Linked DNA regions of Canis lupus familiaris. The main gene of each other region encodes a partner of the protein of the gene in region 2 in a complex. Links are inferred from orthologs where the notes say so. Each region holds a gene or a part of one and is shown on either strand. Other genes may lie near its edges.

What was found.
Region 1: TAF10 (region 2) and TAF13 share a complex: the UniProt entries of both Homo sapiens proteins name them as parts of the TFIID basal transcription factor complex. The link is inferred for Canis lupus familiaris from reciprocal best matches to the Homo sapiens genes TAF10 and TAF13.

The regions. Positions count from the first base shown.
Region 1 is NC_049227.1:43,170,053-43,174,422, reverse strand, and holds the start of TAF13 (transcription initiation factor TFIID subunit 13), read right to left. Parts: upstream 2,897-4,370; 5' UTR 2,841-2,896; coding exon 2,814-2,840; intron 1,962-2,813; coding exon 1,883-1,961; intron 1-1,882. UniProt on the Homo sapiens protein: The TFIID basal transcription factor complex plays a major role in the initiation of RNA polymerase II (Pol II)-dependent transcription.
Region 2 is NC_049242.1:30,425,284-30,428,554, reverse strand, and holds TAF10 (transcription initiation factor TFIID subunit 10), read left to right. Parts: upstream 1-1,289; 5' UTR 1,290-1,312; coding exon 1,313-1,544; intron 1,545-1,682; coding exon 1,683-1,837; intron 1,838-2,071; coding exon 2,072-2,136; intron 2,137-2,225; coding exon 2,226-2,340; intron 2,341-2,522; coding exon 2,523-2,612; 3' UTR 2,613-2,717; downstream 2,718-3,271. Other genes in the region: ILK (integrin-linked protein kinase), read right to left, coding at 2,924-3,073, 3,260-3,271. UniProt on the Homo sapiens protein: The TFIID basal transcription factor complex plays a major role in the initiation of RNA polymerase II (Pol II)-dependent transcription.

The DNA of each region.
Region 1 (4,370 bases), on a different chromosome or scaffold from region 2:
CTTTCCATTGATCAGTGACAGTTTCTCAAATTAAGGTCATTTTTCATGACCTTGACCCTTCGGAAGAATTCTGGTTAGTGATGGTGTAGAATGTTCTCCAATTTGAGTTTCTCTGGTGTTTTCTCATGATTAGACTGTGGGTACTCATTACTAGAAAGGGTACCATACAGGTGAGGTGCCCTCTTAATGCATCATATTGGAGGTACATGATGTTATACATTACTGGTGATGTTGACTTTGATCATCAGCTAATACTTTAGACATTACTTGTCTGCCAGGATTCTCCATTGCAAGCTTACTATTTTTCCTTAAATATTTGAGGAAGATACTTTGTCATTAACATTTTGATGAGCATAATTCACCAGTATATATGTTAACTGCATTTGGTTAAAGGGTTTGTAAAGACACAAATACCAGTGAATTATTTGAAACTTTGTGTTATAAAGTAGCAATTAAAAAAAAAACAAGGGATCCCTGGGTGGCGCAGCGGTTTGGCGCCTGCCTTTGGCCCAGGGCGCAATCCTGGAGACCCGGGATCGAATCCCACGTCGGGCTCCTGGTGCATGGAGCCTGCTTCTCCCTCTGCCTGTGTCTCTGCCTCTCTCTCTGTGTGTGTGACTATCATAAATAAATGAAAATTAAAAAAAAAAAGAAAAATTTAAAAAAAATAAAAATAAAAAAAAATAAAAAAAAAACAAAGTTTCGGATAACAGATGTCAGCCAATAAATTATACAAGATTAAAGTAAGACAAGGAGAAGGCTGTGAATATTCCAAACTCTTATCATCACAAAAATAAAACAAGCCAAGCAGAACAAACATTTCTGCTAAGAAGTGACAATGCAAACATCAGTCTGGGATGCTCTGCCGTGGAAATCCCCTTCTTACGCTGATATAAGAAATAAAAACAGAATAAAGAGTATCAAAGATGGATTAAGGAGTGGTCAACTTTAGGTGAGACATTGAGATATGGAGGATTTGAGTCATTAAAAAAATATAAATATATACCGACTGCAGTTTCAAGAGCATTTGGGAATCATTCAGTCCGACCCAGCATAAATAAACCATATATTCATGTGCTGCCTCCTTTGTCACTACTCAGCCATAACTACGTGTAAAAGACACAGGATGGAGAGCACATTCTCACAGTGCCTTTCAGGGACTAGCTTTGACTGTCACTAGGAACAGCAGCTCTCCCTCTTGCTGCTGCCAAAAAGAGTCAAGCCTATCTATTGAGGGAATACACTAGAGAACCAATACATTACAATCTCTATGCCACTGTACTGTCTTACACTACTCATCACCTTTCTGTCTTGTCCAATGCTTTAGTCCGAAGGCCCAACTTAATTCCTACCATCAGTACCTGTTCCAGGATCCATCATAACCTTAGACTTGTAGTCTAGGAGTTCTGCTGCAATAGTAAGGGACACAAAAAGTAATGGAGGTATGTTTTTTGGCCCTGAATTGAAACACTGATCACATTTCTTCAATTAAAAAGAAAAGTGCATATACACGCCCACCCACCTACACACACACACAAATTGGGGTTAGGATCACTACTATTTGATTCAGAAGTTAAACACGTTTTATGGGCAAGTCTGAGAATATTGTTCCCACAGAGAACATTAATCTACTTTGAATAAACATGTCTAAAAGTTTTTATTGTCGGGATCCCTGGGTGGTTCAGCCGTTTAGCGCCTGCCTTTGGCCCAGGGCATGATCCTGAAGTCCCAGGATTAAGTCCCACATCCGGCTCCCTGCATGGAGCCTGCTTCTACCTCTGCCTCTCTCTGTGTGTCTCTCATGAATAAATAAGTAAAATCTTTTAAAAAAAAAAAAAAGTTTTTATTCTCTGTAATTGAATCATTGTCAAATATTACTTACATTCTTTAGAAAAAAGTCTCTTCCTTTTACCCTGTCCGCCTTCTGCACCTCCTCCAATTTCTTCATTTTCTTCCTCAAACTACAAATTAAAACGTATATGTGAAATGTCAAGTGCTGCATTTGATTATTAAATAATTAACGTTTAATTTTTTTTTCATTTCTAACACTGATATTGTGCCAGAAAGCCTAAAGCAAGCAGCAAAAAATCATGAAATCTCAGCGTTTTAAGAACCTTAATGACTATCCAGTCCAACTTTCCACTTACGCAGGAATGGCTTCTACGATGTCCCTAACAAATAATCCTACTGCCTCTCCTGGAAGTTATGATGACCATACGTTTTTTTTTTTTTAAACCAACTAGTTAGTCTATTACTACAGTTTTTACTATTAAGAATTGGTACTGAATCAAAGTAAGCAAACTAGTATTTACTAAGCATCGCTTACACAGGACTAGGAACTTCCCTCCAATAAGCCTGAACCCCATTTTTTGACATGTAAACAAAGGCTCAAAGTTAAGAAACTGGCTCAGAGATAAAAGAGGTTTTGAAATCCAGGTTCCCTGATTTTCGGTCCATTATTTTCCCACAACTCTACAGTAAGCACATAGTTTTGTTATCAGCTGCAGTATCGGTTCATAAAGCGCGCTAACAAACAATTAGCATTGTCCTCGGATGGCTTTCCAGGCGATTCGGAGTGTCCAGCAAACAGACACCAAAAGCAAAAGCAAGCAGAAGCAAGCAAGCAGCCACCGTCCTACTCTTCACGTCCTGCCCCACGTACTAAGAGATGAACCCGAAGGGAAAGGCTAGCTGGGCGTGAAGTCTCCGAACTCTCTCCAGTGTACTGGCTAAGGTGAATCTGAACTCAGGCTCCGCTCCTGTCCCCCAGGGAATGAAGAAACGGGTGGGTGGGAACGGCGGCGGTCACTCACAGCAGGGTCTTCCTCCTCGTCGGCCATGCCGCCGGCCAGCCTAGAAGCCGCAGCCTCGCTTGCAGCCGCTTCACTAGTTCCTCTGCCTCACTTCCGGTGACGCGCCGGGAGGGGCGGGGAGGGGCGGGGCCTAGCCGGGAGGGGCGGGGGCGGGGCCGAGCCGGGAGGGCGGGGAGGGGGCGGGGCCGAGCCGGGCGGGGCGGGGCCTAGTCGGCCAACCCGCGAGGAGGTCGCGCGGAGACTTAACGGCAGGTGCAAGCGGACAGGGGGATGAGCCGCAGGTTCTGTGATCAAGATCACGGATTGATTACGTATTAGGAAAGAAAAGGAAATCGTAGACTGGGCAGTGTGTATGTTGTGGCCCTGAATTGGCTTCTACGTATGGAATCACCGCTCCCTGATTCGGGGCTGTGAAGCTACGTATCACTGGGGTGCCAGTGGTCCTTGGGATGCCCGAAGAGTGTGTTTACACAATTTTAACAACCTATAGTTACACTATTATTATTTTTTTAAGATTTAATTTATTTATTCATGAGAGAGAGAGACAGAGACAGAGGCACAGGCAGAGGGAGAAGCAGGCTCTCTGCGGGGAGCCCGACATGGGACTCGATCCCCGGTCTCCAGGATCAGGCCCTGGACCAAAGGTGGCGCTAAACCGCTGAGCCACCGGGGCTGCCCTAGTTACACTCTTTTTTTTAAATTTATGATAGTCTCACACACACACAGAGAGAGAGAGAGGCAGAGGGAGAAGCAGGCTCCATGCGCCGGGAGCCCGACGTGGGATTCGATCCCGGGTCTCCAGGATCGCGCCCTGGGCCAAAGGCAGGCGCCAAACCGCTGCGCCACCCAGGGATCCCTAGTTACACTATTATTAATTGCCAAGCACTACACTGATTATTGGGTATGTTTTCCTTCGCCGCTAGTTTTTAAGAGGAAAACATCACCCCCTTAAACTGAGGATTAAATATTTGTGGGGAATTTTGTGATCAGAACAATGAAGAAAACCACTGGCGTTAGAAAGCTAAAGCTAGGGATATCAAATGTTCTGCAATGCAAGGCATGATGCCACACAAGGAGAAGTTGTCCCACAATATTTCTGAATGCCCTGCTAAACATTCATGTGAATGAAAAACCTATAATTATCTGAGCCTAGAACCTAACTTTGTTTAGATACTAAACATGTCTTATGTTTTTTTAAAGATTTTATTTATTTATTCATGAGAGATAGAGAGAGAGAGAAGCAGAGACACAGGCAGAGGGAGAAGCAGGCTCCATGCAGGGAGCCCGAGGTGGGACTCGATCCCGGAACTCCAGGATCATGCCCTGGGCCAAAGGCAGGCGCTAACCGCTGAGCCACCCAGGGATCCCCTGTCTTAAGCTTTTAACTCACATTTTCTAGGAATGAAACTGTGGGATAACAAAATATATATATATATATATTGGTCTCTGCTTCCAGTTCCTGGCACAAAGCTTCTAAAACCCTTGCAATTCCTAAGTGATAAGAGCATAGGAGCATTTTTTATTCTCATGAAGCAATTTAGGGTAGGCAATTTAGGG
Region 2 (3,271 bases):
TCCCATCAGGTCATTTACTTAAGACCCTTCAAAGGTTACTGATGCAATTCTGGCTTTTTGCTATGACTCACAAACCTGATTCTTCCCTTGCCATTTGTTCCTGAGTACCAAATTGTTTATCTTCTCTTGTTCCCCCTCCCGGCTCTGCACACACTTTCACTTTTCCTCAAGGTAGTCTATGCCCTTAACATGTCCCTCGACTCCCTTTACCTGGTTCATTTCCAGTTCTCTTTAAAAACTCAGAAGTCATATCCTCCTGTGAACCTTTTGACTCCCTGAAGGTAGCTCATTTTTGTGTAGCAGAAAAATTCTGGGTTTTTAAAAACAGACCTATTTGATACTTGGTTCTGACGTAGACTAGGACAGAGCCTTGGACAGGTACATCTCCCCGAGTCTTTTCCCTCCTCTGTTAAGGGGGCATATCAATACCTGCGTCGCACAGTAATCAGGGAATAATTAAGTGGAATAAAGTTGATGAGTGCCTGACACAAAGAAGTAGGCGGCAGATGTTAGTCCCCTTCCTCCTTTGCACTGCATACTGTGTCTACCTCTAGTATTGTAACTCCAATGTAGGACTGAAAATGCCAGCTAACCTGTTTGCCTCCCCGACTGTCAGCGCCGAGAGGACGAGAGTCTCGTCCTGCTTAACTTTGTACTCCCAGGCCCTCGCTCAGGATGGGCAAATAGGAATTAAATAAATGTGTGTTGCGTTGAACACCCCCCCCCCACACACTCGCTGTGATGCTGCGTATGTTGTTTATTCAGGCTGAAATACCTCCTTCCCCAACTATGGCAACACTGCACATTCCTACTGTCCTCCATTCCCAGGGCAGTCGCGGGGGGCGGGGGGGGGGGGAGACTTACAACCCTTAAAAGGCTGAGTAAGGGAACTGGAAAGGATACAGACTGGCAGGCAACCCGTGGCCGAGGGGGGGGGGTCCCTAAGCAAGGTCTTTAAGTGCCAGGTTGCAGGAGGGGCAGGAGGGGCCCCGGACCCGCAGAAGAGCGTCCTAGACGTCGACGGTTCCCAGCCCCGCGGCAGGGCCTAGGACTTCGCCCGGGGGGTGGGGGGGGTGGGGGGGGGTGGGGGCGGGGGGAGGGCGGGGGGCGTGGGGGGAGGGCGGGGGGAGGCAGCCCGGCGGCGGCGGCGGCATCTCACTGGCTAGCCGACATCCAGGAGGCGGGAGACCCGACACAGACGACAAACATGGCGTGGGCGGGGCGAAGCGCGGGGCGTGTGACGTCACCCGGCGTGTGCGTAACGTGAGCGGAAGCGGAAGCGGCTCTGTTCGCCGCCTCTCCCACCGGCCCGATGAGCTGCAGCGGCTCCGGCGCGGACCCCGAGGCGGCGCCGGGTTCCGCCGCCTCGGCCCCGGGCCCGGCGCCCACGGTCTCGGCCCCCGCAGCGCTGCCCGCCGGCACCGCTGCGGAGAACAAGGCCAGCCCCGCGGGGACAGCGGGGGGACCCGGGGCTGGAGCTGCGGCAGGGGGCACGGGACCCGTGGCGGCGCGGGCCGGGGAGCCGGCCGAGCGGCGCGGGGCGGGTGAGGGCCGGGCCGGGTGAGGGCGAGGGCAGCGCCGGGGGCTGGGCCCGGCGGCGGGTGAGGGCGGGGGGTTTGAGGCCGACCTAAGCGGGGCTGCGCATCTTCCACCTCCATGTCTATTTGCTGCTTCTCCTCCAGCTCCCGTGTCGGCGGGCGGCGCGGCGCCCCCGGAGGGGGCCATGTCTAACGGGGTTTACGTGCTGCCGAGCGCCGCCAACGGAGACGTGAAGCCGGTGGTGTCCAGCACGCCTCTGGTGGACTTCCTGATGCAGCTGGAGGACTATACGCCTACGGTGGGCTTCCTGCCTGAACAGGCTATTGGGGCGCTGTCAGGCCAAGCTTCCGCTACACCACCTGGATTTCCAGCTTTCTTTCGTACTTGCTCCCCTACTAGCTCTTTGATTTATCCCCTCTGCCCACCCAAACCGTGGGCTTCCTGAAAGCCGGGCCTGTCCTCCATTTCCCTCATCCTCTCAGCCCAGCAGTGCACAGGGCACACACTGACAGTCCTCTCGTTGATCTCTCAGATCCCAGATGCAGTGACTGGTTACTACCTGAACCGTGCTGGCTTTGAGGCCTCGGACCCACGCATGTGAGTACAGCTTGGGTAGGTTACAGCCTTGGGTGCTTGTGTGGAGTTTCTGGTCTCCTCTCCTTCTCACCCCAGTTTTTTCTCTCTAGAATTCGGCTCATCTCCCTAGCTGCCCAGAAATTCATCTCAGATATTGCCAACGATGCCCTACAGCACTGCAAAATGAAGGGCACAGCTTCTGGCAGCTCCCGAAGCAAGAGCAAGGTGTGAGGGGAGGCTCATTGAATCAGTAATTATCTCCCACAGCATCGGAGGCTTAATTTGTCCTGAAACCCCTTTGGGGAAACTAAGCCCTAGGGGAGGTGAAAGACCTACTCAGGGTCACCCACCTGGGATTGAAATCCGGAATTCCCCTGCTCAGCTGGTGCTCTTCCCTCTTCCCTCAGGACCGCAAGTACACTCTAACCATGGAGGACTTGACCCCTGCCCTCAGCGAATATGGCATCAATGTGAAGAAGCCGCACTACTTCACCTGAGCCACCCAACCTAAATGTACTTGTCTGTCCCCCTGTCCCCACACCAGCCTGTTTTCATAATAAACTTTATTGTGACAGGCAGGGCTGGTCCCTCCCATGCTGGGAGATACCGTGTGGCAAGTGACAAAGCTCTGAGCCTAGCCCCTTTGGGGGCTGCAGTGGTAGGGATGGGGGCAGGGGATGGGCCCCATGGCTGGGGTAGTACCATGACTGGAGGCAGGGGAGGCAACCAGAGGCCTGCTGCTTTGGGGAGACACACTCCCCTAACCGTGTCCTGACACCTCTGGAGTTTAGGCAAGGGCTTTCCAGCTCTACTTGTCCTGCATCTTCTCCAGGATAGGCACAATCATGTCAAACTTGGGCCGCTTAGCAGGGTCTTCATTCATGCAGATCTTCATGAGCTTACACACATGGGGGGAAATGCCTGGTGGGATAGTAGGCCGAAGGCCTTCCAGTGCCACCTGCAGATACAGGAAAAAAACAAAATGGGTCTCAGAACTTCTAATATCCTGTGAGGAGAGGCCTCTAGTCCTCAGGAAAGGATTACTGTATATTTGAACAAATATGGGAAGAGCCCAGCCCTGCTATAGTTGTTGTCACCACCACTACCATTCCTTCAACATAAGTGCATACAGTTGTTCTCTCACCTTCATTCCAAT